Pelodiscus sinensis: one gene and its partners. The protein of the gene in region 1 purifies or fractionates together with the protein of each later gene. This does not show direct contact. Links are inferred from orthologs where the notes say so. Each region holds a gene or a part of one and is shown in the gene's direction. Other genes may lie near its edges. The genes, in order: WDR5, RUVBL1, CCT7 and SESN2.

What was found.
Region 2: the proteins of WDR5 (region 1) and RUVBL1 purify together in Homo sapiens (affinity purification with mass spectrometry; 3 studies listed by BioGRID and IntAct, with this or other methods). This does not show direct contact. The link is inferred for Pelodiscus sinensis from reciprocal best matches to the Homo sapiens genes WDR5 and RUVBL1.
Region 3: the proteins of WDR5 (region 1) and CCT7 purify together in Homo sapiens (affinity purification with mass spectrometry; 3 studies listed by BioGRID and IntAct, with this or other methods). This does not show direct contact. The link is inferred for Pelodiscus sinensis from reciprocal best matches to the Homo sapiens genes WDR5 and CCT7.
Region 4: the proteins of WDR5 (region 1) and SESN2 purify together in Homo sapiens (affinity purification with mass spectrometry; 3 studies listed by BioGRID and IntAct, counting the BioPlex papers as one, with this or other methods). This does not show direct contact. The link is inferred for Pelodiscus sinensis from reciprocal best matches to the Homo sapiens genes WDR5 and SESN2.

Annotation. Positions count from the first base shown.
Region 1 is NC_134732.1:17,957,545-17,965,260, forward strand, and holds the start of WDR5 (WD repeat-containing protein 5), read left to right. Parts: upstream 1-4,710; 5' UTR 4,711-4,836; intron 4,837-7,716.
Region 2 is NC_134721.1:24,793,213-24,800,220, reverse strand, and holds the start of RUVBL1 (ruvB-like 1), read left to right. Parts: upstream 1-3,991; 5' UTR 3,992-4,100; coding exon 4,101-4,241; intron 4,242-4,783; exon of another isoform or gene 4,784-4,816; intron 4,817-5,126; coding exon 5,127-5,213; intron 5,214-6,872; coding exon 6,873-7,005; intron 7,006-7,008. UniProt on the Homo sapiens protein: Possesses single-stranded DNA-stimulated ATPase and ATP-dependent DNA helicase (3' to 5') activity; hexamerization is thought to be critical for ATP hydrolysis and adjacent subunits in the ring-like structure contribute to the ATPase activity.
Region 3 is NC_134715.1:131,026,810-131,034,642, reverse strand, and holds the start of CCT7 (T-complex protein 1 subunit eta), read left to right. Parts: upstream 1-4,826; 5' UTR 4,827-4,958; coding exon 4,959-4,964; intron 4,965-7,544; coding exon 7,545-7,698; intron 7,699-7,833. Other genes in the region: PRADC1 (protease-associated domain-containing protein 1), read right to left, coding at 2,144-2,210. UniProt on the Homo sapiens protein: Component of the chaperonin-containing T-complex (TRiC), a molecular chaperone complex that assists the folding of actin, tubulin and other proteins upon ATP hydrolysis.
Region 4 is NC_134735.1:12,743,388-12,750,901, forward strand, and holds the start of SESN2 (sestrin-2), read left to right. Parts: upstream 1-4,514; 5' UTR 4,515-4,829; coding exon 4,830-4,919; intron 4,920-7,514. UniProt on the Homo sapiens protein: Functions as an intracellular leucine sensor that negatively regulates the mTORC1 signaling pathway through the GATOR complex. In absence of leucine, binds the GATOR subcomplex GATOR2 and prevents mTORC1 signaling.

The DNA of each region.
Region 1 (7,716 bases):
AGCCTCTCTCCAGCCTCCTTGGAACCTCCCTTCAGGAAGTTGAAGGCTGCTATCAAATCCCCCCTCACTCTTCTCTTCTGCAGACTAAACAAACCCAAATCCCTCAGTCTCTCCTCATAGGTCATGCACTCCAGCCCCTAATCATTTTGGTCACCTTCTGCTGGACCCTCTCCAATGCGTCCACATCCTTTCTATAGTGGGGGGCCCAGAACTGGACACAATATTCCAGATGTGGCCTCACCAGAGCCGAAAAAAGGAAAACAATCACTTCTGAGGCTGGGAAGACTGGGGCCATGGCCCTCTACCCCCCCGCCCCGGTGCTCTAGGGCTGGGGGAGGCTGAGGGCACACACCCTCTTTCTTGCTGGGACGTGGGGCCTGAGCAGAAGGGGTGGACCTGGGGGTGGGTCTGCGGGCTTGCCTCCACCAACTCTACCTTCACCCACGGCCTCTGTGTGTTTCATACCAGCTTCCATCATCTCCAAAGGTAAGGGTCTAGTTTCATGCACCTAAACAACCCCATTAAAGCCTTTGATACTTAAAACTGGGTATGTGCTTAACTGGAGCCTATTATGATTAAAAATCATTTTGCTTTATTTAAAAAGGTAAATTAAAACACTTTACCTAGCCTTAAGGGCAGGGAACATGCAGTGTTGTTGTGATGCTTAGTTACTGTTTGTTAAGCACTTTGAGATCTTTAGGCACTAGCAAAACAGTAATACAAATAAGAGAACTTTGGAAGTGGTAGGAGAAATCTCCAGCATGACAGAGTCATGAGAAATGGGGCACAGTACATGTACATTTTAATCTTCAACAAGAAAAGCAAATTACACTGTTCTGACCAAAGAATAATTAAGTATCAGCTTTTAAAACGGTGAATCCAGTCTATTTAAACAAACCAACCACCCTTAGGTTACAAAACAGAAAAGAACTTAACTGGCTGGGTCTCTTAATGCTGGGTTGTGCCGCTTTTCCAGCTCCGTTTATTATCTTCTACTTTGCCCCCTTATCCATATTTGCATTATAAGGTTTAATTCTTTAAATTCCTGCTCCAGATTTCCAAAGCAGGCAGTAAATTTTTCCTTGAATCCCCTCTCCACCAGACATTTTCCATTCCCCAACTGCCATTAGAATTTTTGGATCTCAAAGCTCTTTGTTAAAGGACCGGCATGTACACACTTTTCTTGGGTTTTTTTTTCCTCCATTAAACAAAAGCCGCTTGTCGCAATTTCTGTGTAGCCTTTGGCCTCGGTTCAGGAAAGCACTGATTTTTCCAGAAAGCAGCGGCGTAACTTTAAGCATGTTTTGAAGCGCTTTCCTAAATGTGGTCCTTTGAATGGATATTCTGAAACCTTGTCAAATTTTATGGAGCGTGCAAGGCACAGAACCGGGACAGATCTTATTTGATTAATCCAGCCCTTCCGTGTTGGAACCTTTTCATTGGCTCTCCTCTGCAAGATCAGAACAGAAGTTTTTATTATGCTTCCAGCAGCATCCCTTGGGTGCATATTGCTGCTTGTTTCAGAGCTTCTTTGAGGTGTTTTGCACAACCTAATCAAAGGGCAAAGCTCTCTTCTTAAAAAATTGGTATAGCTGCAGTTATTATTCACACTTATAGACAACTGAGATCCACTGCAGCAGCAAAGCAAGTATATCAAGCGGACACACAGACATCAGTCATCACTGGGGATTGAATCAGATACTTCCAGCTCCAAAAGCATAGGTCTCTAATCCCTTGAGCTCAAGAAGAGATCACATACCTTAGGTAATTACTGGAGGGAGCTATGGCGAGATACATTAAGCCACTGTATTACACAATCACTAGCACTGAAGCAAAAGACAAAGGCTACATCTAGACTGCAGGCTTCTTTCGGAAGAAGCTTTTCTGGAAGAGATCTTCTGGTGTTTAACCACCCTGACAGTTAGGAAGTTTTTTCTAATGTCCAACCTAAACCTCCCTTGCTGCAGTTTGAGCCCATTGCTTCTTGTTCTATCCTCAGAGGCCAAGAAGAACAATTTTTCTCCCTCCTCCTTGTGACACCCTTTTAGATACCTCAAAACCACTATCATGTCCCCTCTCAGTCTTCTCTTTTCCAAACTAAACAAGCCCATGTTCTCTAGACCTTTAATCATTAGTCATGTTCTCTAGACCTTTAATCACTCTTGTTGCTCTTCTCTGGATCTTCTACAATTTCTCCACATCTTTCTTGAAATGTGGTGCACAGAACTGGACACAATACTCCAACTGGACACAATATTCCCTTACTTCTGGGCTGCTTGTCTGTGCTGAATGGCTAGAGAGCAGCACGCCTGCAGCCCAGAAGAAAGGCTGTAATTTAGGGGGGAGAGGTCCCATCAAAAAAAGTTTTACTCTTAATTTAGCAGATTCCCTTACCCAGAGTGACTGACAAACCTCACATTAGCAGAGTACTATCCTGTATCCTATATGAACACGGCCATGACATTTGCTATTTATGCCATGACCCACCCACAAAAAATGTGCGATTTCTCCATGATTTAAGTAGACCACTCACAATAACGTATAACAGCGATCTGCTAACCTCAGTGGTTCAGGAGGCAAATTAGCCATCCACATTACGTAAAAGAGCCTCAGTTGTGTAAATGTATATATTATCCTCACAGCCAAATGACTGATCGAGTATTTTACAATTGGTGAATAACACAGTAAAAGCATCCTGATTAGCTAATTATGTAGATTGGTTAAATAATTAAATCACACAGTGTTTTAATATCATGTGCTGCAAGGAGCTGCAGGAGACACATTAAAGAGCAACACACAGCTCCTCTCTGAGTAGCTCTGATGTGAGAGACCTTGAGTCTTAGATACCTGAGTGAGTTTCTGAAGGCTGAGTAGGTGCTAAACTTGCAGTGGTCCCCAACGTGGTGCCCGGGGGCACCATGGCGCCCGCCGGGCCATTTCTCTGCGCCTGCTGAGTGAATGAGGCTGGCCCCACACCTGGGCGCATGGCGCATGGCCGGTGCCGGCTCCCTGGGCGGTCAACATATGGGCAACGTCGGCCCCAGGCACGCAACACATGGGCGGCCCCAGGAGCTTTTGGGTGGCCCTGCCCCTGGGTGCGCGGTGCAACGGCTGTACTGGCCCCAGGTGCGCGGCATATGGGCGGTGCCGGCCCCGGGCACACGGCGTTTGGGTGGCCCCGCCCCTGGGCGTGCAGCGCATGGGCTGTTTCGGCCCTGGCGCACGGCGTATGGGCAGCCCCACCCCTAGGCGCCTGGCACAGGAGCAGCGCTGGCCCCCGGGAGTGCAGCGAATGGGTGGTGCCAGCACCGGGCGTGCGCCATATGGGTGGCCCCGCCCCCAAGCACGTGCACGGCCTCGCCCCCAGGTGTGTGAGTAGCCCCGCCCCCAGGCGCCCGGCAGCCCCAAAAGGTTGGGGACCAATGTTAAAGAGTAGGGGTGAAAGGAAGCGCTAGGACTTACTGGTATGCCGGAGTCCTTACTGGTATGCAAGAGGTGATGGGTGGGTTTGAAACCGCACAAGGGGCAGGGCTAGAGCCTAGAGGACCACACTCCTCAGCCAGTCTTTCATGACCACCACTTCATCCGGGACCCCCAGGCCTTTCTAAACACTGGTCTCCAAGGCAGCTGCACCTTTTGCTGCAGGTCACTCTGCCAGACCCGACCAACAGGGCTGCTGACCAATGTTCCCTCTAACTCCGCGTTTCTCAAACTGTGGGTCCCGACTCCCCCCGGGGGGTCGCGAGCAACTTAGAGGGGGGGCACAGTATCACAGAGTTTGAGAATCCCTGCTCTAACCTTTTCTATCCACGTGTGGAATAAAATTTGTATGTGCACGCGGGTGTTTGCAGAGTTGCACCACTGATAGAAACACAAAACCTAGCAGTGGGTGCAGCATTTGAATTGCTCCTGAGCGGCTGCATAAGCACACAGCTTACAGGGAGCGCTGCCGCTGACGGGGGGAGCAAAAGCGGCAGCAATGTTAAAGCACTGCTGAAGCAGCACATTAAAAACGGTCCTTCCCTTGCTGCCGTGATGGCACTTTAACATCCGCCGCATATGGGCTGGTGCCGGTGTCTGCTTCTTACAGGTATACAGCTGGCACCAGCCCAGTGTCACCTGGGTAAGACACAATGATGCTGGGACGGGCCCTATATTTTAAGAAATGGGGGTTTAAAGCAGTGCTGCAGTGGGGGGGGGCTGGGTTTCCTAATACGAGCCGTGTGTGTGGGGATTGCTTGCAGAACTGGGCCCCATATGTAGTGGGTGTGTGTATCACGGGGCCCCATAAGTAGCTGTGTGTGTGTGTGTGTGTGTGTGTGAGAGAGAATCCCCCCCCCACACACACACCAACACTCCCCCCCCCCCACTTCTGGCAGAGGGGCACTGTTCACCCAGGCTGTCCAGTGCACATGAGGACACTGGGTCAGGCTGGGAAGGGGGGGGGGGGGGCTTGAGGGCTCCAGCCTGGGGAGCTGCAGCTTGCTCCAGCCTCAGCGACTTCCAGGGAAATTGCAACACGTGGGCCGCAGGGCCGTGACCTCTGCAGCAGCCCTGGCCGCGTGCATCCCCTGGGAGCCCCCACCCGGAACAGGCCTCTGGCCCTTTAAGGCCTGTGCCAGTCCGCCTCCGACGGATTCTGTCCCTTCCGCCTCGCCGTAGCATCCCCGGGAGAGAGCGGCATTGTGCGGCTCCCTCCCCTTCCGCCGTGAGCGCATGCGCCGCCCCGCAATTCCCCCCTCCCCGCCTGGCAGCTACGGAGCTGCCGCTGCTTCACCTCCTCCCCGGCCCTGCTCCGCGCCGAGGAGGAGGCGGCGCCCCTCCCCCCCCTCCCAGGTAAGTGACTGAGCGGGGCCCCCTCCCCCCCCCCCGCGCCGGGCACGCGCCGCCCCGCGGCCCCGCCCCGAGCTCTGCCTCCGCCAGGGAACGGCCCGCGTGGGGCCGCCCCTCCCCCGGCTCCCGTGTAATGGGGGGGTGCGTGGGGCCGCCCCTCCCCCGGCTCCCGTGTAATGGGGGGGGGCGTGGGGCCGCCCCTCCCCCGGCTCCCGTGTAATGGGGGGGGGCGTGGGGCCGCCCCTCCCCCGGCTCCCGTGTAATGGGGGGGGGCGTGGGGCCGCCCCTCCCCCGGCTCCCGTGTAATGGGGGGGGGCGTGGGGCCGCCCCTCCCCCGGCTCCCGTGTAATGGGGGGGGGTGCGTGGGGCCGCCCCTCCCCCGGCTCCCGTGTAATGGGGGGGGTGCGTGGGGCCGCCCCTCCCCCGGCTCCCGTGTAATGGGGGGGGTGCGTGGGGCCGCCCCTCCCCCGGCTCCCGTGTAATGGGGGGGGTGCGTGGGGCCGCCCCTCCCCCGGCTCCCGTGTAATGGGGGGGGGTGCGTGGGGCCGCCCCTCCCCCGGCTCCCGTGTAATGGGGGGGGGTGCGTGGGGCCGCCCCTCCCCCGGCTCCCGTGTAATGGGGGGGGGTGCGTGGGGCCGCCCCTCCCCCGGCTCCCGTGTAATGGGGGGGGGTGCGTGGGGCCGCCCCTCCCCCGGCTCCCGTGTAATGGGGGGGGTGCGTGGGGCCGCCCCTCCCCCGGCTCCCGTGTCCTTTCTTAGCTCCAGGGCGGGGGGAGGGAGCAGGGAGGATGCATGTCCTTGCTCTTGGGTGCATGGATCTGTCCCTTCCCTAGCTTCCACGTGGAGGGAGGGGTGTGCACCATTCCTGCCCCAGGGTGCATGGACCGGCCTCCTCCCAGCTCCTGTTGGGGGAGAGCTGTGCAGCCCTGGTGATGTATGGAAAAGCCGCTTCCTTAGCACCGGGAGTGGGGGTGGTGGTGCAGGCACCAGCTTCGGGGTGCAGGGTGAATGGATCTGACCTCCTTCCCTAGCACCCATGGGGTACATGGACATGCCCTTCCTTGGTGCCCATGACTGGCGTGTATGAACCTGCCCCCAGACTGCATGGGTCTGACCCCTTCTTAGCTCCCACGCAGGGGGATATGTACCAGCCCTAGTCCTGGGATGCATGGTCTCGCTCCGCCCTCTCTTGTTCCTAGGCCTGGCTGGGGGCATGCACCAGTCTGTGGCCAGGGTGTATGGATTTATTGTCCTCTCTAGCTCCCGTAATCTGTATCTTGCTTTGCATGCGCAGACCTTTCCCTTATTTGGTTAATAAGCTGCATAGCCTGTCTTGGGGGCATGCACTGGTTCAGGGTGGCTTGTGTGGCCAATGTTACTTGCATGCATAGATTCTAGCCCTTACTATTTATTACATGGAGGGTGTGTCTCATCCTAAAGGCCCAGGCTACTGTATGAGATTGGGGATTGAACTGGCACAAGTGCAGAAGTCAAGCTTGTTCTCCCTCCAGCCAGATGCAGCTTTAAGCATTAATGATTTGAGCTTGGTGTAAAAGCCTCTTCATGAGTTCAATCTTAGCCATATTGGCATCAGCCAATTGCCATTCTGGAAACCTGGACTGAATATTACTGTTTCTGCTGTTTGATGCAGAAAGCTGCCTCTTGTTCCTATCATGCATAACACAAACAGAGCTAAACACTGAACAGCTGACGTAGAGTTTCCAAAGCTCTCTTCCAAAATTTCCTAGCAGTGGCTCATCTCCACTGAAGAGAGCTCTAGTGTGGGAAAGACAGGGGCTATACTGTGCTGCACAGTCCCCCAAAGAAGACATGGCACTTAAAATCCTACCAGGCACCTGTGTTGTCACTCCAAATACAGCTACTACTAGCAGAACAAAACTGGTGGTAGCAACACTAATAATTTTTGTCTTAAGACAAGGCCTTACTGTAAGTGGTGGAGGTATTGCCTATTGTCAGGCTGAAATCTAGCAGGGCTGCGGTAGAGGTTTTTTACTCTGCAGTGTAGCACTGATTGAAGAATATTGGCACAGCAGTTTCGGGTTTTGTTTCGAGAAGGTGAGTCTATTGAGACTGCTACAGGCTGGCTCTTAATCAGGTGAAATATCTTCCATGTGTAAGGCAGGAACAAGTATGATTTGCTGCTCTCAAATGCAGTTAAGGAAACAGCCCTTGGTTGAAATAGATGAATTGGGAGGGCAGAAGAAGGGAATAGGATTTTGAGTTCTGGGTGTACCTGTTGCATTTTTCGCATGATCGTGGGTTTTGTATCGCATCTGTCTTTCCATTTGAAAGACATCCAGGACTATTACTTGCCTCAGTTCCAAGAAATGAAACTCTTATAGCTACGCTTCTGAACTTTTTACGTTTAATGGCATTTCAGGGAGTGTGGTGAGAAATAAACTGCCCACACTCTCACCAGATCCTCTCAGCTGTAATATGAGATTAGGCCAGAACAGGGGTTCTTGAACTGGTGTACGCTGTAGACCACATTGTCTCAGAGCATCACATGGACCACCTCCCTTGCCACTGGTTAACAATCCTGTGTGGCAACTACAGCAATTGTTTACTGCTCTGGAGAGCAAGAGGTGCTTATAGCTGTTTAAATCTGATTTGGCATTGGAGACTGGACAACTAGCAAAAAGCTCTGTAGTCTATTTTTATAAAACGGGGAGTTCAGAGGAATGTTGCAGATGGCACAGAGTGATAGGCATAAAACTTTGTCAATTCCATATTTATTTAACTCCCACCAGCAGCATTCAGGTTTCTTGGATTTTAGCTAGAATTGGAAAGTGATTTTTTTCCCCCCACTGATTATATGGGGACCTGGATTATGATTAGGGTGCATTGTTACGTTAATTGTCGT
Region 2 (7,008 bases), on another chromosome or scaffold:
GTTCCATGCTCTCTTTGGGATGCCATGAGTTGTCGGCGATCTTACACGACCTCTGAAAAACTGAAAGTTGTTAGCTATGCTGAGGCTCATGGCAACAGAGCTGCCAGCTGTGAATTTGATGACATAGCGGAGTCTAACATTTGGCTTTGGAGATGGCAGAAAGAGAGCCTGCAAGCACTGCCTAGGATGAAGATGGCTGAGTGAGGTAAAAGCGCTGCATATCCTGAGTTGAAGGCCAAGCGGGTTGAATGGATTGCTGAGCGTAGACAGCACGGCGGTGGTGTTAGCATTGTGGAGGTTGGAAAGAAGACTTTGACCATTGCCAAAACGTGCACTAACACAGCCGGGTTTAAAGCTTCGTATGGCTGGGGTGATCGGTTCATGAATCACCATGGCCTATTGGTCCGATGCTGAACAACAATCGCACAGAAGCTACCCATGGACTCAGACACCAAGTCACTGCAGTTCCAAAAGTTTATCATAAGCTACGGAAGCAGCACTGCTACTACCTTTCATTAATTGGTAATGCAGATCAAACACCATTACATTTTGATAATGCCTGTGACAGAATGCTTGAACTGAAAGGTGCCAAGACCATCTCCATTGCTACCACAGGCCATGAAAAGTCTAGGTTTACCATAATGCTTGCTTGCATGGCCGACGGAACGAAGCTGCCTCCTTATATTGTGTTCAAGAGCAAGACAATGCCAAGGAATGTAATCTTCCCGAACATCGTTCACATGCGTGTTCACCCTAAAGGCTGGATTGATGAAGCTTGATTGGCTACAGACGGTTTGGGCGAAGCAGCTGGGTGGACTTATGAGAAAGCGGTCTCTAATAGTTTTGGATGCATTTCGGTGTCATCGTATGCCATCCGTTAAGAAAAGGCTTCAATAGGACAAAACAGACTTGGCAACTATTCCTAGTGGAATGACCAAAATGTCGCAGCTGCTTGACGTGACACTTAACAAGCCAATCAAAAATGCACTACACAGGAAATGGAACACCTGGTTGTTGGAAGGTGAACATACATTTACTGCAGGTGGACGTATGTGAACACCAACGCTGCAAGATGTTACCCAGTGGGTAGCGGATGTCTGGCTTGAACTTGATCCCGCTATGATAAGGAAGGGGTTTCTGAAATGCAGCATCTCTAATGCTATGAATGGCAGTGAGGATGATGCCCTGTGGATGAATCCGAGTGACAATGAAGTGGCCGAGGGCGAATTACCAGTATGCGAAGATGACAATGATTTGTATTACCTGGATGAAGATGTTGAGGGCTATACCCTGGAAGATATTGCTCGACTGTTTGAGGAAGATTCTAACAAAAGTGAATTCGAGGGCTTCGAAGATGAGTAGTCAATCAATTAACATAGTGGTATTTGCTTGTTTGCGCTGCAGTGTTGATTTCACTTGTTTAACTTACCTTTTTGAAACTGTGTATATAGTTGCTTGTTGGTACTAATAAAAATCAACTTAACCTCTGGTGTCCAGCGATTAATTAACTGCCGCGGAACTGCCAAATGAAAACTTAAAAAAAAACCCCTCCTAATTATAATGCGCACCCTGACTTTAACGCTAAAAAAAAAACAACAGGTAAAAAGTGCGCATTATACTTGAGATTTTACGGTATGTGTTGGGCACTTGATATGTTTGATGTATATACACAGTATAGCTACGTCTACACTGCAAAGTTTTTGCGTAAAAACCTGTGGCGCATCCACACCTCAAATGAGCATTTGCACAAGTAAATCAGCAGTTAAACGGCAGAACAGAGGACTTTTGCCCATGCAGGTAAACCTCCTTTTACAAGGCATAACTTCCTTTTGCGCTACAGCTATTGCACAAAAAGGCAAGTGTGGACATTGCACAAGAAACCCCTCCGGGAAAAAGCACAGGAATCTGATGGTCGTTCTGTGACTGGCCATCAGAGCTTTCTTGCACAAGAGTGTCCATGCAGTGTGGACGCTCTCTTGCGCAAAAGCACATCGCTTTTGCGATGTGCTTTGCGGTGTGGACGTGTTCTTGCGCAAGAAGTTTTTGCACAAAAACTCTTGCGCAAAAGGCTTCTTACGCAAGAAGCATATAGCGTAGACGTAGCCTAAGTGTATTGTTCAGAGCCAAAGCAGAACTCGCTGCTTACATAAACACTTTCCCCACTATATGGAAAAAAAAAAACTTTTCTATGAACATAGCTAATAAAAACATTATAAAGCATTAATGAAGGAAATTCTAACAGCTGGAAGATAAAAGAAATTTTATTAGTGCTATACAAATATGTAAAAATGTTATTTTTTAAAAGAGAAGTGTTAGCTTATCTTTGGGATGAAAGTATATATATTTTAAGAAGTGTTTTCTTCAAGTTACCACTATTTCACTGAAAGTGCTTCTGGGGAAATCTAAACTTCCCAGTGGAAAAAGTGCATGGTTAATAAGAAGGTGAATTGTTAACCAGTAAGTCTCACCCTTAATGGTTGAGAGTTATGGTTAACCAGTGGGCCCTGAAGCAGCCCTCAACTGCTGTGGGTCCATCTGGGGCATGCCTCGGGCAAGGGCACTCCAGCCTGGTCAGAGCTGCCTAGCCCATAGCTGGGGGAGTGCGCTTTGGTTGGAATGTCTCCTCTCACCCACCTCTATTTAATCAGTTAAAGATAACATTTAACCTGCTAACTAATTACATGGATTTTTACATCCCTGATGGTTACACCTTCCTCCAGCCCACTGCAAAATAAATGAGCCAACTGAATCCAATGGCAAGAGACTCCATGTTACTAGTGAAGTCCAGCAAAGCAAACAATCAGGCTAAATTAGATATAGCCCATGAGCGAGACAGGACTGCATACTACAGGAGATCTCTAAAGCAAGCAAATGCTTGTGTCCTTAGCCATTCTGACACAGCCACTGTCTTGGAAAATAAATCTAGCTCTTTCTATTATAAAATCATAGAATACCAGAACTGGAAGGGACCTTGAAAGATATTCAAGTCCAATCTGCTGTACTCAGGGCAGGACCAAGTACTATATAGATCAGGTGTGGACAATAATTTTTTTGGGGGAGGTGGGGGGACAACCACCACCTAATGAATTTTGATACTTGGTCATGGGCCAGCTCCACCCCTGGAAAGGGTGGGACCTGTGGCAGAAGGGGTGGGGCTGGGCACTAGCTTCCCCTCAAGAGTTGTCTAGGGCTGGAGGCTTTGAAGAAAAGACATAGCAAAGGCCTTGTGGCTCCCAGCCCTATCACAGTGCCTGGCAGCTGCCCAGGGTTACTCTAGCTATTTAAAAGGCTCATGGCTCCAGCACCTGCCAGACTGTGAGCCAAGAGCCATTTAAATAGGATCCTGCTGCCTGAACTGGAAATTCGGTGGCAAGGGCAGTAAGACATAACAGAAAGTGGCCAGATTGACCTGGCTTGCAGAGTGTGACCCCTCTTCAGTGTTAGGTGGACCGAATCCAACCCCTAGACCCCTTGCCCAGCCCTAACAGAGGTTTGGAAATTTTTAAGAGCAGCTTAAACATTGATGGAGTTTCCACAGCTATGCTAGGCAATTTATCCCACCGTTTAACTACGGGGACAGAAAGTTTCGTTAGAAACAAGCAGTCCTCGCCTCTCTCCATTTGTCAGAGGCACATGTAAGCTGAGCAGACCAAAACGCCATAGGCAATTGACCTGGCAGGGGAGACGGCTACAGCCTGGGCTTGCCCCTGACTGTGGTTACTACCTCTCCCCAGCCGCATGCCTCCCAAGCCCCACCTATGGCCAAGTAATTCCTTCCCCCAACCTCTGCAATCCTTGAGCTGGGTGCTCCACAGGGACGATAGCATCCCGGCCCAGAAGCTCCAGAGCGAGTGGGTGACGCCGGAACTTCTACGACGAGCACACAGGGAAGTGGATGGGCGAGCTTTCAATCTTTGGTAGTAACCGACACATGCCCTCTCCAATAAGCAGCGAGAGTCGTGCCGCGTTGGCCAATGGCAAGGGAGAAGGCGGGATTAGGTGACCAGGCGCCGGGAGCCTTGGTAACGCGCGGGCCGCGTGCTTCCCGGGACTGTGTGACTAGGAGGCAGCCGGAGCTGTGTCTGCTCTTTGCCGCCGGCATGAAGATCGAGGAGGTGAAGAGCACCTCGAAGACGCAGCGCATCGCCGCGCACAGCCACGTGAAGGGGCTGGGGCTGGATGACAGCGGCGCGGCCAAGCCGGCGGGGGCCGGGCTGGTGGGGCAGGAGAACGCTCGGGAGGTGAGGGGCCCCGGCTGGAGACGGGTGGGCGGCGGGAGGGGGGGGGGTCTGTGAGGCATAGAGCGGCCTAGTGAGGTGGGCGAGACCGTTGCTGGGGGGTTGCTGCCCCTTTGCACATCCCGCCCCCTTGCCAACGGCCCCCACCTGCCAGTTGAAATGTCCGCTCCATCTGCGTCAGGAGGGCCCTATCGGGGCTACGTGGTCTGCCCCTTCTCCCTGGCTTTTGGAGGGGCCGCAGTCCTGGTGCTTCAGTCTTTGTCAGTCCTCTTCCGCGCACCCTTATAGCCTCACTCTAGCTTTAGCGATGGCAGCGCTGCAGCGATAACGGCTCGTCCATATGCAGCCATGGACGTCACAGCACTTTGTAACGGGAGATTGGCGTTATCGTTATTTCTTATGATGGCGAAACTGAGCCACAGAGAAGCAAAGTGACTAACCCAGCGTCATACACCAGCTCATTAGCATAATTCGGGTAGAATTGAAAGCTTTTAACTCTCATTGGCTGGACCACACTGTCATGAATCTTGCTTTATAACTAACGTTTTAGGAGCCCTTCCCTTCCCAGTCATTTACAGGTACCCGAAAGAAGTCTGTATTTACAGCAAAAGTGTCAGAACTCCTGCATTCTAGTTGTACCTCTGCCACAGATTTTGTGTGATTTGGGGAAATCATGATGTCTATCTCAGTTTCCCCATCTGTTATTGAAAAACTAAATGTTAATAGTGTTATGAGTAGTAATTCTTATAAACACTGTTGGTCCCTCGGGAATGACAGGTACTTAAGCTGTGTAAAAGTGTTATTACCTATAAACTGGTTGAGAATATTCATTTAAAAGGTAATTTTAGGTTTACCTAAAACCAGCTAAATTAATGTTTTTATTTGTAGGCTTGTGGTGTTATAGTGGAATTGATCAAAAGCAAGAAAATGGCTGGTAGAGCTGTGCTATTGGCAGGACCTCCTGGAACTGGCAAGGTATCGTCTTCTTAGTACAAAAGCTATTCTCTACCACTCTCTCTTAAATATAGTGGTTAGGGATGTTAGATAGCAGATAATAGAATAGTTGAGTAACCACGTGAATTTTTATTAGTTACTTGACTATTCTATTGTCCCCAGGGGCAGGGCCGGCAGCCAATGCGCTTCAGCCCCACTCTCAGGGAGTCCCCTGTAACCCCATGCTGTGTCAGAGGCAGCAGCATGGGGTGGCAGGCAGGAGCTGGTCCATGAGGGTAGCGAGTTTAAAAAACAGCTTCCATCACAGACCAGCTGCCTGCCACACTGTGCTGCTGCCTCTGTATCAGAGGCAGCAGCGTGGGGTGGCAGCAGTTCCTGACCACGACAGTCTGAGTGTCCCATGGACAGAGGCTGCTGGGGTGGGTGGGAGGCTGCTGCAAAGCAGCCTCTGTCCACGGAGGCCTGGGCTGGCTGCAGACAGAGGCTGGTCTGGCAGCAGTCCCTGTCCTCGGGGGGGTCTGAGCTCCCCACGACCGAGGCTGCTCTGCCTCCCACGGAGCAGCCTCTGTCCATGTGAGCGTGGGCCCACTGCAGACAGAGGCTGGTCCCTGGCAGCGGCCCTTGTCTGCTGGGAGCTGGGACCCTCCCCCCCACAGATAGGGGCTGCTGCTGTGAGCTCCGACCCCCTCTCAATCAGAGGCAGCAGCACAGAGGGGCAGATGGCACCATGAAATCAATGTTGGGGGAACTGGCTTTGAAGGTAGAACACTGTGTGGCACTGCCGCCTTTGAAATGTAACAACAGCTGGGCGAGCTCTTGCTACATTTCAAAGCAGAAGCGCCCTTATTGACTAATCTAATAGTTGATGGAAATTCCATCGACTATTCAATTAGAATTCCATCAACTATTCAATTAGTTGATTAATCTAACTTTAATATCCCTATCATATACTTGACTACTCTTTTACATCCCTAATAGTGGTGTCAAATATTTCCCCAATAATAACTTCAGCAAGTACCTTCTGCAGTTACTAATCTTTTTTAACTTGAGCCAGAGTTGAATAAGCACTGAACCTTTCTCCAAATTGTGTTTTACCATGCTATGAGTGTGCAGTGGCAATGTCTCGTTCTAGTGCCAACAGTGTAAAAACCCATTCTACACATGTGAATGAATGAAAACGTAATATGAAGTATGTGGGTTTTAAATAAATGTCATCTTAAACATAAATTTGGGAGTTTTAAAGCATTTTAACCTTTGTTTTTTGCACGTTACAAGACTTACACCTTACATATGGGATGTTAAAGAGAGACTGTCCAAAAATAGTAAACAGTTTTATGACTAGCTTCAGGTGCTTCTTGGTAGTTCTTTTAATTCTTGGATGAAAGACATGTTGTAAGAGAAATGTGCTGTTGCTGTATATGAAAAAGTGGAGGAGTAAGAACATAGGAATCCTGACTCCCAGGCCTTAGGTTCCAGTTCTCATTCTTCCATTATCTCATTGAAGGCACTTGGATCTCTCCATTTATAAAACAGCACTGTAAAGCATTGCAGACGGTGATGTAGTGAGCAAAGTATTTTAACCTTCTGGAATGGTTTCTACAAGATCTTTTGGTCATTATACATGTATCTCTCATAAAAATTCTTAAGTGTGTAAGAGTTCAGTCTTTTGAATTTTTACAGACTGCTTTAGCTCTAGCTATTGCTCAAGAGTTGGGAAGCAAGGTTCCATTTTGTCCTATGGTTGGAAGTGAGGTCTACTCCACTGAGATCAAGAAGACTGAAGTCCTGATGGAAAATTTCAGAAGAGCCATTGGTA
Region 3 (7,833 bases), on another chromosome or scaffold:
GAGACCAAACATTTTCACCTGGATAGTCCGGTAATTGCATCTTCTGTCTGGTATTTTCTGGGTTTTTTTTTTTTTTACCGGACAGAAGATGCAATTACCGGGTGAAAACCAGATACCTGGCAACCCTACTTCCATCAGCACTTCCTGCAAGAGGCCGTGAAGACGCAGGACGCTCTCTTACATCTTAGGGAGGGAGCACTGGCTAGCCGTGACAGCAGGAGAATGGGCATTGGGAAATCTAGGTTCTGTAGCACCGAAACCTGGTGAGACCCTGGGCAAGTCAGTTTGACCAGAATTTTCACTAGTGTCATTAATCTCTAGGCACGAGGGATGTGAAATCCATTGAATTGGTTAAACTCCGCCTCCTGAGCCAGCCGCGGACAGGGGATGCTCCAGACACCTGGAGCAGCCCCTGTCCATGGCAGACCTCCAGAGCAGCCCCCCATATAAACCTTTCACATCCCTACTGGGTACCTCCAATTTTTGCATGGCCCAGTTTTAGGCACCTGGGGAGTAATTTACCGAGGTGCTTGAGGCCCCAGACCAAGTCAGTGGAGCTGCTGGTGCCTGGACTCTGGAGGTGTGTCAGGCTGGGTTCCCAAAATCTCTAGTCACTTTCCAAACACATTGCCCCTTACCCAATCCTTGCCTCAGTTTCCCCTCCAGTAGCACACGGGGCTGCCACTTGACCATGGCACAAGGGAGTCAGGAGGCACAGTTAATGCGGGTGAAGCACAGCAGACACTCTAGCAGGCCAATTCACTCTCTAAATTACTACAGGCACCACTTGACGCCTGTCAGTGGGGGGCGGGGTGTCTAGTGGGCAAAGCAGGGCAGTCGGGGGATGTGGGTTCTATTCCTGGGGCCACCACTGACTGGCTGAGCGTCCTTGGGCAAGTCACTTTCATCGCTCCATGCCTCAGTTTCCCAATCTGTACAGTCTGGGGCCTGTTTACTTACCTGCCTCTCATGGGCTCCCTGACACTGAAGTCCGGGATCCTTAGCGAGGCAGTTAATAATTACTACACTAAGCAGAGGAAGCGGGAAGGGAGAGTAGTAGGATAAATGACAAGGAAGGGCCTAATCCGGAGAGGTGCTGAGAACCCACAGGAGATGCTGGTGTCCAGCGCTGCTCCAGATGGAGCCCAAACCCTCTGCCCTGCTGAGAGCATTTTGACGTCTCGTAGCAGCACTTCCGCTAACCTCAGTGAACCGAGCAACCCCCCAGCCACAGCCAGAACATTAATTTGGGCAAGCAGCTAGGACCCATCACGAGACTCCTCCAGAGTGTGACATAAAACCAGGCTGCCTGCTTGGCCAGCCCTTTGGAACGCGCCTCCGAACTGAACACAGGTCATTTACCAAACCCAGCGGAGCAATCTCCCCTCTGGGATTTTCTCCTTTGCTTTCTCCATCTTTTAACCTGCCTCAGCTCCTCTTATTTACCTGCTGGCTGCCCCTGAATCCAGCTTTCCCTCCATCTTCCTTTCCTAATCGCTGTGCGAGTTTCAGGGCTGATTTACCGTGTTCTAATGGGCAACCACAGCGATCAAAATTGTCTCTCAAGCCGAGTGGCAATGCAAGATTCTCCCTTGCTGGGCCCCCTCCATGGAGGGATCTTATGCCAGGGCAAGAGGATGTTGCATTATATTTTGCTTTGGCTCGCTCACAGCTTTCAGAGCGCCGGCACAAGGCATTTATTAAGACTGGATCCTGTGCAGCGAGATTTTCCTGCTACATGGCCCCAGCCGGACTGCCACCCCTTCACGACTGAAAATGGGAACTTACAGACACACTAAAAACCAGACAGGTCTGGCAGGGCTTCCCGGCAGCCAACAGAGCAGAGCATGATGAGAATACAAAGAATAAACAGCAAGCACAAATTCCCCCCCAGCCGAGAAGCGCTCAAGGTTTTTTAACCCCTCCCCTGCATTTCAGGGCAGCAGTTTCTGAGCACAAGGGCCAGCGGCTGCCGCAGCAGGGCACTTGACTTTGGAAGAGGCAGCTGGATGTGCATTGTAAAGGCTTGCTTGTCAGTCCTGTGTTGCAAGCGTGCGCCAAGCAGAATGGAAAAGGCGCCCACACAATGCAGGCACCGGGGTACTCTCTAGCCTCTCCTTCTCCCCGGGTGGCCCGTACTCACCATCAGCAAAAGGGCAGGCGCAGAGACAGAGCACAAAATGCAGCCAGCTGCCAGCGCTGAAGAGCATGTCTGTGCACCAGCCTCTCCGTGGCTCCCCAAGGCACCTCTAGCCACAGAAGTCTCAAAGTGGCCACAAAGCAAAGCCCCGCCTCTGGCTTCCACTCACTGGTCAGCTCCAGCGGCTGCCAATCCCATTGGTGAAGGTTTCAATCAATCCAGTGCCGGCTGGTTACAAGAGGCTTGAAACACCGAGGGGTTCCTAGTAGAGAGGAAGAAAAAAATAAATAAAATAAAATAAATCCGAGCCGGTTCAGCCCTTCAGCAGATTTTTCAGAAGTAAAATCACTGGAAGCAAATCCGTCCTTTTCCACCCACTCGTACTCCACGGAAAGGGCAGGGACACACGACTGGGGGGCAGGAGGTGGGGTTTTATTCTGGGCTCTGCTATAGATGTGTGACCTTGGCCAAGTCATTGCACAGTGTGCCTCAGTTTCCCCCTCTATACATCTGCCCAAGAGGGGACCCTGAGCTTCACCCATTAATGTTTACTGATGGGGAGGAGGGGTTTTGCTTCAAAGGGGTAGCCTTGCTCCCAACATTCAAAAAGCTGCGCAGGCATCTGCAGGACTAGGGCCTACCTGTAGATGCAGTGAGTGAAAGCAACAAACAAGGAGGAGGGAAGGGAGGGCAAAGGTTACAGGAATAAGCGCCTGGATGCTGGTTTTGGTTTTTACAATGGTTGCTTTTAATGTGGGGGTTGCTATGGCTTCTTTTGCTGTTGCTCAAGCCTGCTCTACTCCCCCTCAGCCCTGCCTACCACTGGCATTTCTGCACAGTATCTCACTAGCTTCACAGCTACAGCAGCCGCCCCAGCCCCTCCTCACGGCCTCAATCCCCCTCCCCCAATTAGTTTTGCTGTATGGACATTTTGTTGCGCATCTTTAAACCCTGCCAATCTCATCCTAGACAGCACCGGTGCTGCTATACGGGTGTGAGCCCCTCCTGATTACACGCTACACTGATATACTGCGGGCATGCCACTGACATGGCTTGATGCTGTGCAAGTGTCTCTAATGCAAGGGGGACGAGGCACTTCGTCCCGGACTTTCCCCCCCATCAGACCCTCTGCCCCGTTTCCCTGCCTCCCACTGTGCTCCAAGTGCCTGGGGATAGCGTTGCCAGATGGGTCCAACAAAAATACCGGACGCACTTGACATTCCATCCCAATCGACATTCCATCCGATTTAGAAAATACCGGACGGTTCTATTTTCTCCATTGGTTTCCAGAACAGAAAGCTCCAAAACTGGACTGTCGGGTGCAAAACTGGACACCTGGCAATACTAGCTGGTGAACCCAACTATCTGCTCCTCATCCAACCTCCCCTTCATGAGCCCCCATCAGTACCCAGCTGCCTGCCAGACTGTGAGCCCCACCTGCCCTCCCCCACCTGGCAGCGAGCCCCCACCTGCACGCCCTACCTGCCAGATAGTGAGCCCCCACCTGCGCTCCCCCACCTGCCAGATAGTGAGCCCCCACCTGCGCTCCCCCACCTGCCAGATAGTGAGCCCCCACCTGCCAGACTGTGAGCCCCCACCTGCGCTCCCCCACCTGCCAGAGAGTGAGCCCCCACCTGCGCTCCCCCACCTGCCAGAGAGTGAGCCCCCACCTGCGCTCCCCCACCTGCCAGATAGTGAGCCCCCACCTACCCTCCCCCACCTGCCAGAGAGTGAGCCCCCACCTACACGCCCCACCTGCCAGACTGTGAGCCCCCACCTGCCTTCCCCCACCTGGCAGTGAGCCCCCACCTGCGCTCCCCCACCTGGCAGTGAGCCCCCACCTGCGCTCCCCCACCTGCCAGATAGTGAGCCCCACCTGCACTCCCCCCACCTGCCAGATAGTGAGCCCCACCTGAGCTCCCCCACCTGCCAGATAGTGAGCCCCCACCTGCGCTCCCCCACCTGCCAGAGAGTGAGCCCCACCTGAGCTCCCCCACCTGCCAGATAGTGAGCCCCCACCTGCGCTCCCCCACCTGCCAGAGAGTGAGCCCCACCTGAGCTCCCCCACCTGCCAGATAGTGAGCCCCACCTGAGCTCCCCCACCTGCCAGATAGTGAGCCCCCACCTGCGCTCCCCCACCTGCCAGAGAGTGAGCCCCCACCTACCCTCCCCCACCTGCCAGAAAGTGAGCCCCCACCTGCACACCCCCACCTGCCAGATAGTGAGCCCCCACCTGCGCTCCCCCACCTGCCAGATAGTGAGCCCCCACCTGCACACCCCCCACCTGGCAGTGAACCCCCACCTGCGCTCCCCCACCTGGCAGATAGTGAGCCCCACCTGCGCTCCCCCACCTGCCAGATAGTGAGCCCCCACCTGCGCTCCCCCACCTGCCAGATAGTGAGCCCCCACCTGCACACCCCCACCTGGCAGTGAGCCCCACCTGAGCTCCCCCACCTGCCAGATAGTGAGCCCCCACCTGCACTCCCCCCACCTGCCAGAGAGTGAGTCCCACCTGAGCTCCCCCACCTGCCAGACAGTGAGCCCTATACTGTCTGCTTGCCAAATAATGAGCCAAGTCAGTACTCCTCTTGCCAGATATTGAGCTGACCCCACCCCTCCGCACCTCTATGGTCAGAGGCGGGAAGGAAGGGACGCCGGCGGGCTCCCAACCATCGAGTGGGCGCGGGGAGAAGCCGCTCGCTTCCGTTTCCCGTTGGAACTCCGCCCCCGCCCCTCGCGAAGTTTCTGCGCGGACGCAGTGCATTGTGGGAGCGGCCACCCCCTGTGCTGGAGGCGCTCCACCGGACCTTCCGCCAAGATGATGGTGAGTGGGGCCGGCGCGGCCCGCGCCATCCGCCGCCATCCGCCCCGGGGACGGGCCCTCCCGGCCCGACAGCGGCTCCCCGCCCCCAGCGGGCTCTAGCCGGCCGGCATCAGCCGTTATTTTTGGGGGGGGCGGGCTGGAGCCGGAGCCGCGGCCCCCAGCGCAGCCCGGCGGCAGGAAGGGCGCGGGGCGCTGCGGCCTGCCCCGAGGGCAGCCCATTGAGCGGGGTGGGAGGCCTGGGGAGCTCGGGCCGGCCTGGCTAGCGGTGGGACATCAGTGGCCTCGCAGGGACTACCAGCCCCATCAAGTAACGCGCGAAAACTTGCCCCTGAGTTGGGGTTCCAGGTGGCGCATTGCATGCTGGGGGTTGTAGTCCCTGTAGGACAGAGCAGCGGGGGGAGTGAAGGAAGCCTCTTCTGCTGACTATAGTAACCGTTAACCTGCCCTTAGGGCTCCCCAAACCATTGCGTGCTGGGATCGGACGCCCTGCCTCTCCCCGAAACAGCCGCAGGGGCCCAGCATTGCCCACGGAGGCTGCTGTGGTCAGGACGTAGCATTGCATGTTGGGGGCCACCGTCCCTGTGGTCTCCACGGTTCTGTTTGGGTGATGCTAATGGCTCGTTTTGATTCTGGCACCTGCTGTCCCCAAATTGTTCAGAGGAAAGGGGCAGCGTTGCCTGATGCAGTGTTGCCAGACTTGTCATCTCGGTGGTGGGCACGTCCCCGGGCTAAGCTAAAGGCAGGCCTCAGAATGTGCAGGGATGCTTACAAAAGGATGCTTATGTTGCAGAGAACGTGGTTTTCTTCAAAGGCAGGATAATTTGGATTTTCTATATAAACTTCCATTTAGGCTTGTTCTGACAGAGGTAAAAGAGCCTTGTTTCTGTTTCACAACATGTCCTTGAAGTCTGAGGGCCTGTATTTAACTTTCATGCCCCACCCTTGGCCCTCTTGCCCAATGAGTCTCCAAAGGCAATGTCGGAATTGTTTGAATCCTAGCGATCTTGCCGTAAAACTGTTTATTGCCAATGGGTCAACCTCCCACTTCACTGTCAGTGTAAAAAGATCATGCTTGCATTCGGTGAAGTGCTAAGTGTTGGCCTAGCTTCCCCTTCAAGCAATGCCATCTTGCTCTGATTTTTTCAAAGACAGTGAGAGGTGAAAATGGGTTTCTGCACAAATAAAGGTTCACTGGCATGGGATCATCCTAGAACATTGTGAGGAGGCATTGGCTGGCTGTTACCATGGCCTTTTAGAATCCCTAAGTCATTCTCTTACAAGCATAAGAATGACCATGCAGGATCACACCAGTGGTCCATCTAGTCCAGTATCTTTTCCCTGGCAGTGTCCAGTGCAGATGCCTCAGGGAGAATGAATGAAACAGGGCAATTTTGAGTAATCCCAACCCATGTCCATTCCAAGTTTTCTGGTGGGTTGGAGGCTTGGGGACACCTCGAGCAGCGGCTCTCAACTAGGAGTACGCGTATTCTTGGGGTAGGGATATTAATGCACCCCTGTGCGTTTTTGTTATTTCCTAATTTTCATGTTTACCACAGACCTTGTTATCTGCATTTTGGGTACCACCCTCAGTGGGTACAGCTGTGCTGCTGGCAGCAGCATTGTAAGGGTAGACAGGTCTCGGTTGTTCATACCGTAGTGTCATGTAAAGCTGTTAAGAGATTTTTCATGACACAGTGGTAGAAATGCCTTTGATCTGTCCACTCTGTCAACTTAGCATTTGGCAGCAGCATTTTTAATAGCTGTTGGAGTAGTATGGATACTATATATCTAGTACAGAGACAGTCCAGTGTGGAAGTTGGAAGGTAGAGGTTGGACTTCCCTTGTCCGGCACCCTAATTTGCCAGACCAGGGGAGGTCCCCTACCACTGGCTCCCCAGCCTGCTGCTCCTCAGTGTTCCTAGTTCTGCTACCAGGCCCCCTGCCTCCAGCCCCCCCATCTGCTACTATGCTGCCCTGCACTGCCAGGGGCTTTGGCCTTGCATTGCCTCAGGCTGCCAAGGAATCCCAGCCTGGCGCTATCCTGGGCTGCAGCGGGCTACCAGGCTGGCCTCTTCCCAGCGCTGCTGCGGGCTGCCCCCAATTAAGGCTCAGCTCAGTAATGTAAAAGTTAAAATAATGAAAACAAACACAGGTTTTTGAGTGTATAACTGCGAGCGTTAGAAACTCAAGATACTCAAGGTGAAGATTAAAATGAAAAGAAAATCTTCAAAGAGCTGGATCTTTTGATGCCTAAGACCTTATTTCACAAAGTCTAGTTGTGAGAATAAAGTTTGTAGGCTCCGGCCCCTGCAGCGTAAGATCTTCTGGGTTGAAGTTTTTTGTAAGTCATTAGGCTTTAATAGACTTTGGCTTCAGCGTCAGATATGGAATAGCAAACAGTGACACTCTAATAAGGTGAACTGATTTCCTTCATTGTTCCCCTCAGGAAAAATGACATTGAATAATACTAATAAGCTGAGCTAAGGAGGTTAAAATATTGGTACACAGTTATTTTTAGGGTGACTATTTGGCTTATTAAAGTCTGAGGGAAGCATTAGCTAGCATCTCTTGTCTTTTCAGCCCACACCAGTTATCTTGTTGAAGGAAGGCACGGATTCCTCCCAAGGGATCCCTCAGCTTGTAAGTAACATCAATGCCTGCCAGATTATCGCAGAAGCTGTTCGCACCACCCTGGGCCCTCGGGGCATGGACAAACTTATTGTTGATGACAGAGGTAAGTATAAGATAACATGACTTCCCAGAGCTGCCTTTTAGCGCTTCAGTGTTACCAAGCACAAGGCAGTGGCTTTTGGCTGACTTATCAACCTCCCTGCATAATGCATAGTATAGGTGTGGGATACAAGGTTCC
Region 4 (7,514 bases), on another chromosome or scaffold:
CGAGACCCAGGGCAGTGTGGGAGGGGCAGGAGAGGAGGGTGCTAAGCCCCCGCAGGTTCAGGGTGGGAGCAGGTTAGAAATCACTTCCCCCGCCACTCCAGAGCCGACACACAACCAGGGCTGCGTTGATGGACCAGCAGGACGGGCCTGGCCCCGTGCACTGCCGCTTCACCCACCAGACTTACACACCCAGCCCCCTCCCTGCTTGTGGGAGGGCGGCAGGTGAGCAGGGATCCGCCAGCAGCAGGACCTGCCAGTTCTGATGGGGGAGGAGGCAGAAAATGGACAACTTGCCCATTTTTAAGAAAAAGTCGGGACACCTGCAGGAGGCCTTAAATACAGTCCTGTCCCTTTAAAAGTGGGATCTGGGGGGCTGGGAAGTCCCTGAGGGAGGGAGGCTGCTCTGCTTGCCAGGGGTGAGGACGTGTCCATCTCAGCCAGGCGAGTTATGGGGAGGAGGGAGCTTTGGGAGCCAGCCAGTCAGAGGGGAGATCTGCCCTTTCCCCCGCTGGTAACAGCTCCTGGGGCCTGGGAGGCTGTGCGGGGAGAAGAATGGGGATGTGTGCCCTCATTAACCAGGCAAAAAGGGGAAGCAGCTCAAGGGAACAGGCTGCATCTCGACCTGCTGCTGCTCCGGGCTTTGTCCAAGTGGCCGGGTGTACAAGGGTCCCTAGCGTTCAGCCTCCGTGCTAATTGCCTCAGCGTCCCCCCACACCCAGCTGCTGCTCAAGGCATCTGTCACTCCTGGGCTCCTGACAAACAGCCGAGCTGGTCACAACAGGCCACACAAGGCTCCTTCTGTGACCCTGCGCGGGGGGTAGTGAGCCCAGGAGAAGCTGCTCTAGCCTTTGACTTTTGCTGCATGTACAGCCTTGTAGGGTAGTGGAGGGGGTAAATCATGGGTAAGTTAGTCACTGGGAGCTGGTGGTGCCCCCTCCTCTTACCCACCCATGCTGCCCAGGCTTGGCAGGGACTGGCTGGCAAACCAGCCAGGAGAGCGGCAAGGGTATGAGATCTGCAGAGCACAGTGTGTTGAGATGGGTCCGATCTCCCCTGAAGAAACGTCACCCTTCTGCCGCCTGATCTACCCCGGGGATGAGGGGCAGTGATTCTGCCCTGCCTCGCCACCTCACGTACCATTTTTACCTGTGAAAAGTGAGTGTGCAACAGGAACACACGGTGCACTTTACACCTTCACGGTCCAGGGGTAAGTGGTGAGGCAGGATGTGATGCCGAGGAGAAAGAATGTCAGAATGTGCAATTTGTTCATGGACCGATGCTTTGCCTCTGCCGGGTGCTTTGCTGCCTAGAGAAATGGGGGCCGCATGGTGGAGTTTGCATTTGAATTCCAGGCTCGAATCAAATTTTGCCAAAGCTCAGGCTATTGAGAGATTCAGTGGTTCTGATTTGGGACTGAGAATAAGCCCAAACGGGGAGATCTGCAGCCCTGGTTCTGCTTTGGGACTATCATAAGGACGGGCCCATCCTTCCTCAGAATTTGGGAGCATGTGGGTCTGTCTTCATCTTAAATCACGTGCCATTAAGAAAAGCACATTACAAAGGCTCTTGCCTCACTGTTTGGCCTCTCCGGAGTTTTAAACCCTAGAGTGAGTCGGAAAGAGTTGGCCCCAATGGAGTAACACAAACTTGGCCTCCCAGATTTCCCTGGTCAAATGCTTAAGGAATCCACTTTGTTACAATGACTTGAGCTGCACCATGCCCAGGTCTGCGGGGGAATGGAAGGCAAACTGGGGTCTCTGCACAGAAGGGTGGTTGAAGGCCACAGAACACCGTCAAGCCAGAGTTTTGCAGTAAAGCTGCAATTGCACAACGCTGCTAAAAATAACACTAGTTGCGCATGGGGTTGATCTATCAGCCAGAGGGGAAAAAAATCCGTTTGACTGTATATAAGCTGCCACTGCAAGCTTCCTCTTTCCCCTTTGTTGTGCTCCTTGCAGGGACTGGCTGAGCCGCCTGCAGCCTCAGCCAACCACACTCTGCCATCCCTTCCTGAGCCGCCTGTCCATTGGCTGTCCTGGGAAGTACCACTCAGCCAAGGTGCAAAGACATTTTCACCTAACTGGCAGGCGTTCTGGATTGGAGCCGGAGGAGGCTGTTGCCAGGCAAATCCAGACCTGTTTGCGCAGCTACTTCTGTTTTCTGGACTTTGCCATGTGTGGCTCTTGACGCCAAAGCAGATTGTTCTCGGCACTATTGTCTGGGGCTCTCTCTTTTGTAGAAATGTGGTGTTTGTTATTCAAATCAGCGGGGGTGGAAATCAACGGGGGCTGCGCCAGGGGAGCAGAGAACACAATTTGGCACTGCGCTTTCTGATTGATTATTCTGTGAAATAACAGACCCAAGTTCATCTCCAGTGTAGCTCCATTCATAATGCTGCCAGTTGTCTGGCCTTCTGTGTTGCTTATGAAGATCTGTGCACTAATGTAGGAATGATAAGCTGTGTCTTAAGACACAGAAAGGACCAGGGATATGGGGTGATCTCTACTCAGTCTCAAGGGTACATCAAAAAATATAACTCAATATGATTGGGACACAGGAAAGCAGAGGAAGCTATAGGGAAGGGCTATAAGGGGACAAGGAACCCACGATGCTGACTTGCAAGTCCCTCTTTTATTTCAGTCCTGGATTCCCTCCTTCCTCTCTTCTATTAACCCATTATCTTATTGGTTGTAAACCCCCCCCCCCCAAAACAGGCACTGTTCCATTATCTCCCTGAACATCAATTGTGCTGACGAAGCACTACTCTGTCAGGGTAGCTGCACCTACACTGAGCATTTTGTCAGCACATGTGTCACTAGGTGTTGTGTTTTTTATGCCCTACGGCTGTGTCTACACTGGCCACTTATTCCAGAAAATCAGCCGCTTTTCCAGATATACTATGCTGCTCCCGTTCGGGCAAAAGTCTTTTTTCCGGAAAACTGTTCCGGAAAAGGGCCAGTGTAGACAGCACAGTACTGTTTTCTGCAAAAAAGCCCCGATCGTGAAAATGACGATCGGGGCTTTTTTGCGGAAAAGCGCGTCTAGATTGGCCACGGACGCTTTTCCGGAAAAAGTGCTTTTCCGGAAAAGCATCCTGCAAATGTAGATGCGCTTTTTCAGGAAATACTTATAACGGAAAACTGTTCCGTTTTAAGCATTTCCGGAAAAGGGTGCTAGTGTAGACGTAGCCTACAAGTGTTAAACGTAGGTGAGGCTTTAGTCCAGCCTGGTGTTAATTGATGTAAGAGGAGAATTGGGCCCAGTATGTGTGAATGTTCATTTCCTTGTGGGCCTCGTGTTCCTTTTCATAGATAATGGGCGTGATTCTCCATTGGCCTACACCTTGTGCTGCCATTTACGCACATGCAAAAGTGAACAGAGCCCTACTGTTTTAATAGTATTTTACATCCACTTTGCACTAGTGCAAATGACAGCACAAGAGCAATGGCAAATGGATGCAGGAACCTATGTGCAGATTTCTTCTCGGTGTGTTCAGAAATCCCATAATGGGAGTTTGTGATCCAGAATCAGCCCTTTGAATCTACAGGGAACAGGGTAATCGTCAACACCCCAACATCACTTCTTTTTATTTCTATGTTGTTTTTCTCCTGATTGGTTGTTTTGCTCCATCCAGGTGCTCTTAATGTTGGTTTGAAATTATTTCCTTTATTTATTTAGTCTCTGTTTGGCAGGTTCACTTAGGTAAGACTTAGGTTTCATTTCAAGTTGTGTTATTTTTAGGTAGATCCAGAGATCTGAGAAAGTGTCTGTGTGTCTGTGTGTGTGTACACGTGGGCGCTCAAAGTGCAGAGGTGGTGAGAAGGGGTCGCAGACTAGGCCAAAAAATGAGATTTAAAAATGGATTCAAGTCAGTGAGGGATGCAAGTCAAGCACTTTTACTCCCAGATTATGACCCCCCCCCCCACACACACACACACAGACACACACGTGCACTTTTCCAAACCACTTTAAGCGCTGCATGCAAACAGGTCGCTAGATTTTGATCCTGCCAGAAGGACCTTTCATATACAATTTGAGTCAGCGTCAAGTGCTTTTCTGCTTGTGCCTAATTTTCTCTCTTCCACTGCAACCCTCCCCCACGAAGGATCAAGTTCTATCTCAGTGTGTTCTCCATTAAAAAAAAAGAAAAAGAAAACCCCGTGAGGGGGCGGGTGGTGCGTGCCTCTGCAGCATTCATTCGGCCGGGTTCCTAGCCCCTGCACCCATTTCTGACTTGATCTGAGGAAGTGGGTCTGGCCCACGAAAGCTCATCATCTAATAAACCATCTTGTTACATTGTCCTGCATTTTGCTTCATCTTCCCAGGAGGTCTCCGTCTGCCCCAAAGTAAACAGCGGTTGAACTAGCACTCCCAAAATCCCCAGCGGCTCTGTCCTTCCCTATTGGAGGAGAAGTTTAGGGGGCTGAGCCCGAGCTCTGGAGGACGCTCCTCCTCCTGCGAGGTGATTGGGCCAGTGGGTCAGTGGGCCGCCGCGGGCAGCTGTTTTCCCCGCCTAGACCTTTATGAGAGGGCAGCTGGGAGGCTGGGAGCGAGTCGCGAGTGGGTTGGCTCCGCGGCGCTCTAGAACCCTGATGCGCCCGGACGTTCCAGAACCCTGATGCGCCCGGACGTTCCAGAACGCGGCCACCTTCGGACGTTCTGCCGTGGAACCCCGGGGCGCCCACCTGCCGCGAAACTGACGTGCCCAGGCGCTGCCCGGCCCGCGATGCACCTTCACCCTCCGGACAGATAACCGGGTCCGAGCGCTGGCGCAGAGCTCGCCCCACGTCTCCCCCGCACCCGAGTCCCTCCCCACCCCGAACGGCACCATGATCGTTGCAGACTCCGAGTGCCGCAGCTGCACGGGCATCGCGAGCTACTTGCCCTGCGAAGGATGTGGCGAGTTGCGGAGTAAGGAGGTAATGGAAAGGGGGGAACCCTCCCCCCCCCCACACACACCCTTTTTTCGGAAGGGGTTTGCTTATTTTCCAGTTTTCTCTTCTCTCCTGCCCTGGTCTGTAACTTCGGAGCTGTTTACTTTCCCAGTCTAAACGATTTGGGGGGAGGGGGCGGCGCTCCAGATCCAGCCTGGTCGCGTAAGGGACTCTTTAACTGTACACTTTTACTCCAGTTGCATCAGCCGCAGTGAAATGGGATGCGAAGGGGGGGCGTGAGGTTGTTCATACCGGTGGCGAATATCGGCGCATTCCCTGGGCCGGTGAATGCTAGATCCGATGGGCAAACAGTTTTGCAGCGTCTGGCATGTGCCGCGAACCGAGTTCTCGCTCCCTCTCTTCTCGACTTTTCTCGGTCATTGGAGGCAAATCAGAGTTTCCATTTGACTTGTTGTTGGGCGAACAGGGCGCAAGTACAGACATGTCCCAAGCTGTGGGCCTGTCACCCCCCTCCCCCCCGGGGTAAACGAAGTAGTCTCACTAGGAGGCTGAGGGGGACGGGTGGCTCGCTAAGGAGGATGGAGATCACTTCTAAGACCGATTCTTACTGACTTCGGAGAGAACAGCCCCTTCTGAAGTTGACAGAATTTAAAATAACTAGCTACCGCTTCCCTTGCAAAAGAAGTTTTCCCAACCTCGACTTTCCATGTTTAATTGGTTTAATTTCCTGTCTTTAATACAGATGAGACACTTGTAACAACCTGGCACCATGCATTAAGATTTTCTTTAACCTCCAGTTTAAGAACAAGATTCCTCCCCCCCCCCTTTTCCTTCCAAAGGGTGATGTGAGGGAGACGAGTCTGCTCCCCCTAGCTTACAGAAACCTCCTGTGACTCTTTAATGGCTAAACTTTAAATAGAGATGCTCAACCCCCTTGAGTTTGAAATCGCCCTTTCTCCTACTTGACTCTTGGGCAGGGAATTCTGCTACCTTAAGGCACAGCTGTCCTCTTCAGGGTGGGTATTCCGCAAACTGCAGTGCAGGACCCTCCAAATGCGCTTCGCCTCCTTTTGCTAAGATGGTGCTATCTGAATGGCGCACAAATTGGTGCTCCCAACAACTTACAATGTACCTTGCTCCTCCCCGGGTACTGAGGACAATACAGTAACTAAAAGCCTTCTTGAGGGCCCTGAGAAAGTTCAGCAGATGAAAAGGTGACCAGCTCTTCTTTTATTTAGGGGGTAAACAAACGCGGGGAAGAGGCAGGTGGAGATAAGAAGAGCAAATAATACAATAGACTGTGTTGATGAGCCCTGTGCAATTTCTCTATGTGGCTTTCATGCACTCTTAATTGTTTGGCCCCATCTGGGCACCTTGTGAGTTTCATAGTTTGAAGATGTGTGCAGGAACTTTACAGCCTAAAAATATGAGGTTGAGAAAGGAAACTGAGGCACAGAAAGGAGTAAAGCTAGGTAGCAGGTCGCTACTAGAGCAGGAAATAGATGATGTAATACCCAAGTTTCCCAAGTTCCAGCTGAGTGATTCTTTGCACATGGCTTTCATCATTCTTGTCTCCCTTATAAGGTCCAGTAGTTACATGAAGAGACCTCGGTTGTGTCCATCTGCTGTGCTTGTTTTTGAAGATGGCAGAACTGAATCCTGTGGGAACAGAACTTCATTGTGCAGAAAACTTTTGTGTCTCTTGCAGATCTGGATGAGGATGGGCAGGCAGCTTTCTCTTCCTTAATCTCTGCTAGGGAGTATTCAAAATACACTGCTGGGGTTTTTTTGTTTGTTTGTTTGTTAATGGAGGAGCTTGGGCTTTGAAACTAGTTCACTGATGGGTTTGGGAGTCCTCTAGAGGAGCAGTCACTGTGTAAGACTCGGAAGTGCTGTGAATACTGTATTTGGTACTTCTCGGACATTATTATTGATCTTGTTAATTACAGTGCCTAAGGATTTGTCCAAATGTTCACCATTGGCTAGGTGCTGTACAGAGTAGCAGACTGTCCTTGTCCTGAAGCATTTACAGTTTTAATATACTAGACAGACACAAGCAACGTGAACAATATCATGGCAGTAAAGAGAGGGGACATTAAAGGAAAAGGTGAGAGGTTGCAAAATGCTTTAGAAGAATAGCTCTCAAACTTTCCAGACCACTGTACCCCTTTTTATACAATCAGACCTTAAAAATACAAAAGTGTCACGGCATGCTACTACTGAAAAATTGCTTACTGGCTCATGTTTCTCATATAATTATAAACTCAATTGTAGTATAACTATTGTACTTCCATGTCAAACAGACTGAATATAGAGCAGTGTAAACAAGTTACTGTATGAAATTTTAATTTGTATGGATTCCACTAGTGTGGTGAATCTAGACCAAATAATTAGATGAGTTGATTTACCCCCCGGAAGACCTCTGTTTACCTCAAGGGATATTTATCACTGTTTTAGAAACTCTGAAAAAAACACTGAGCCAGCTCATCTGTAGAAGTAGGTTTTGCCCATGAGAGCTCATGATCCTATATATTTGTTAGTTTCGAAGGTATCACAGGACTGCTCCTTGTTTGTAAAGTTACAGACCAAGACAGCTACCCCTCTCTGAGACTTAGACAC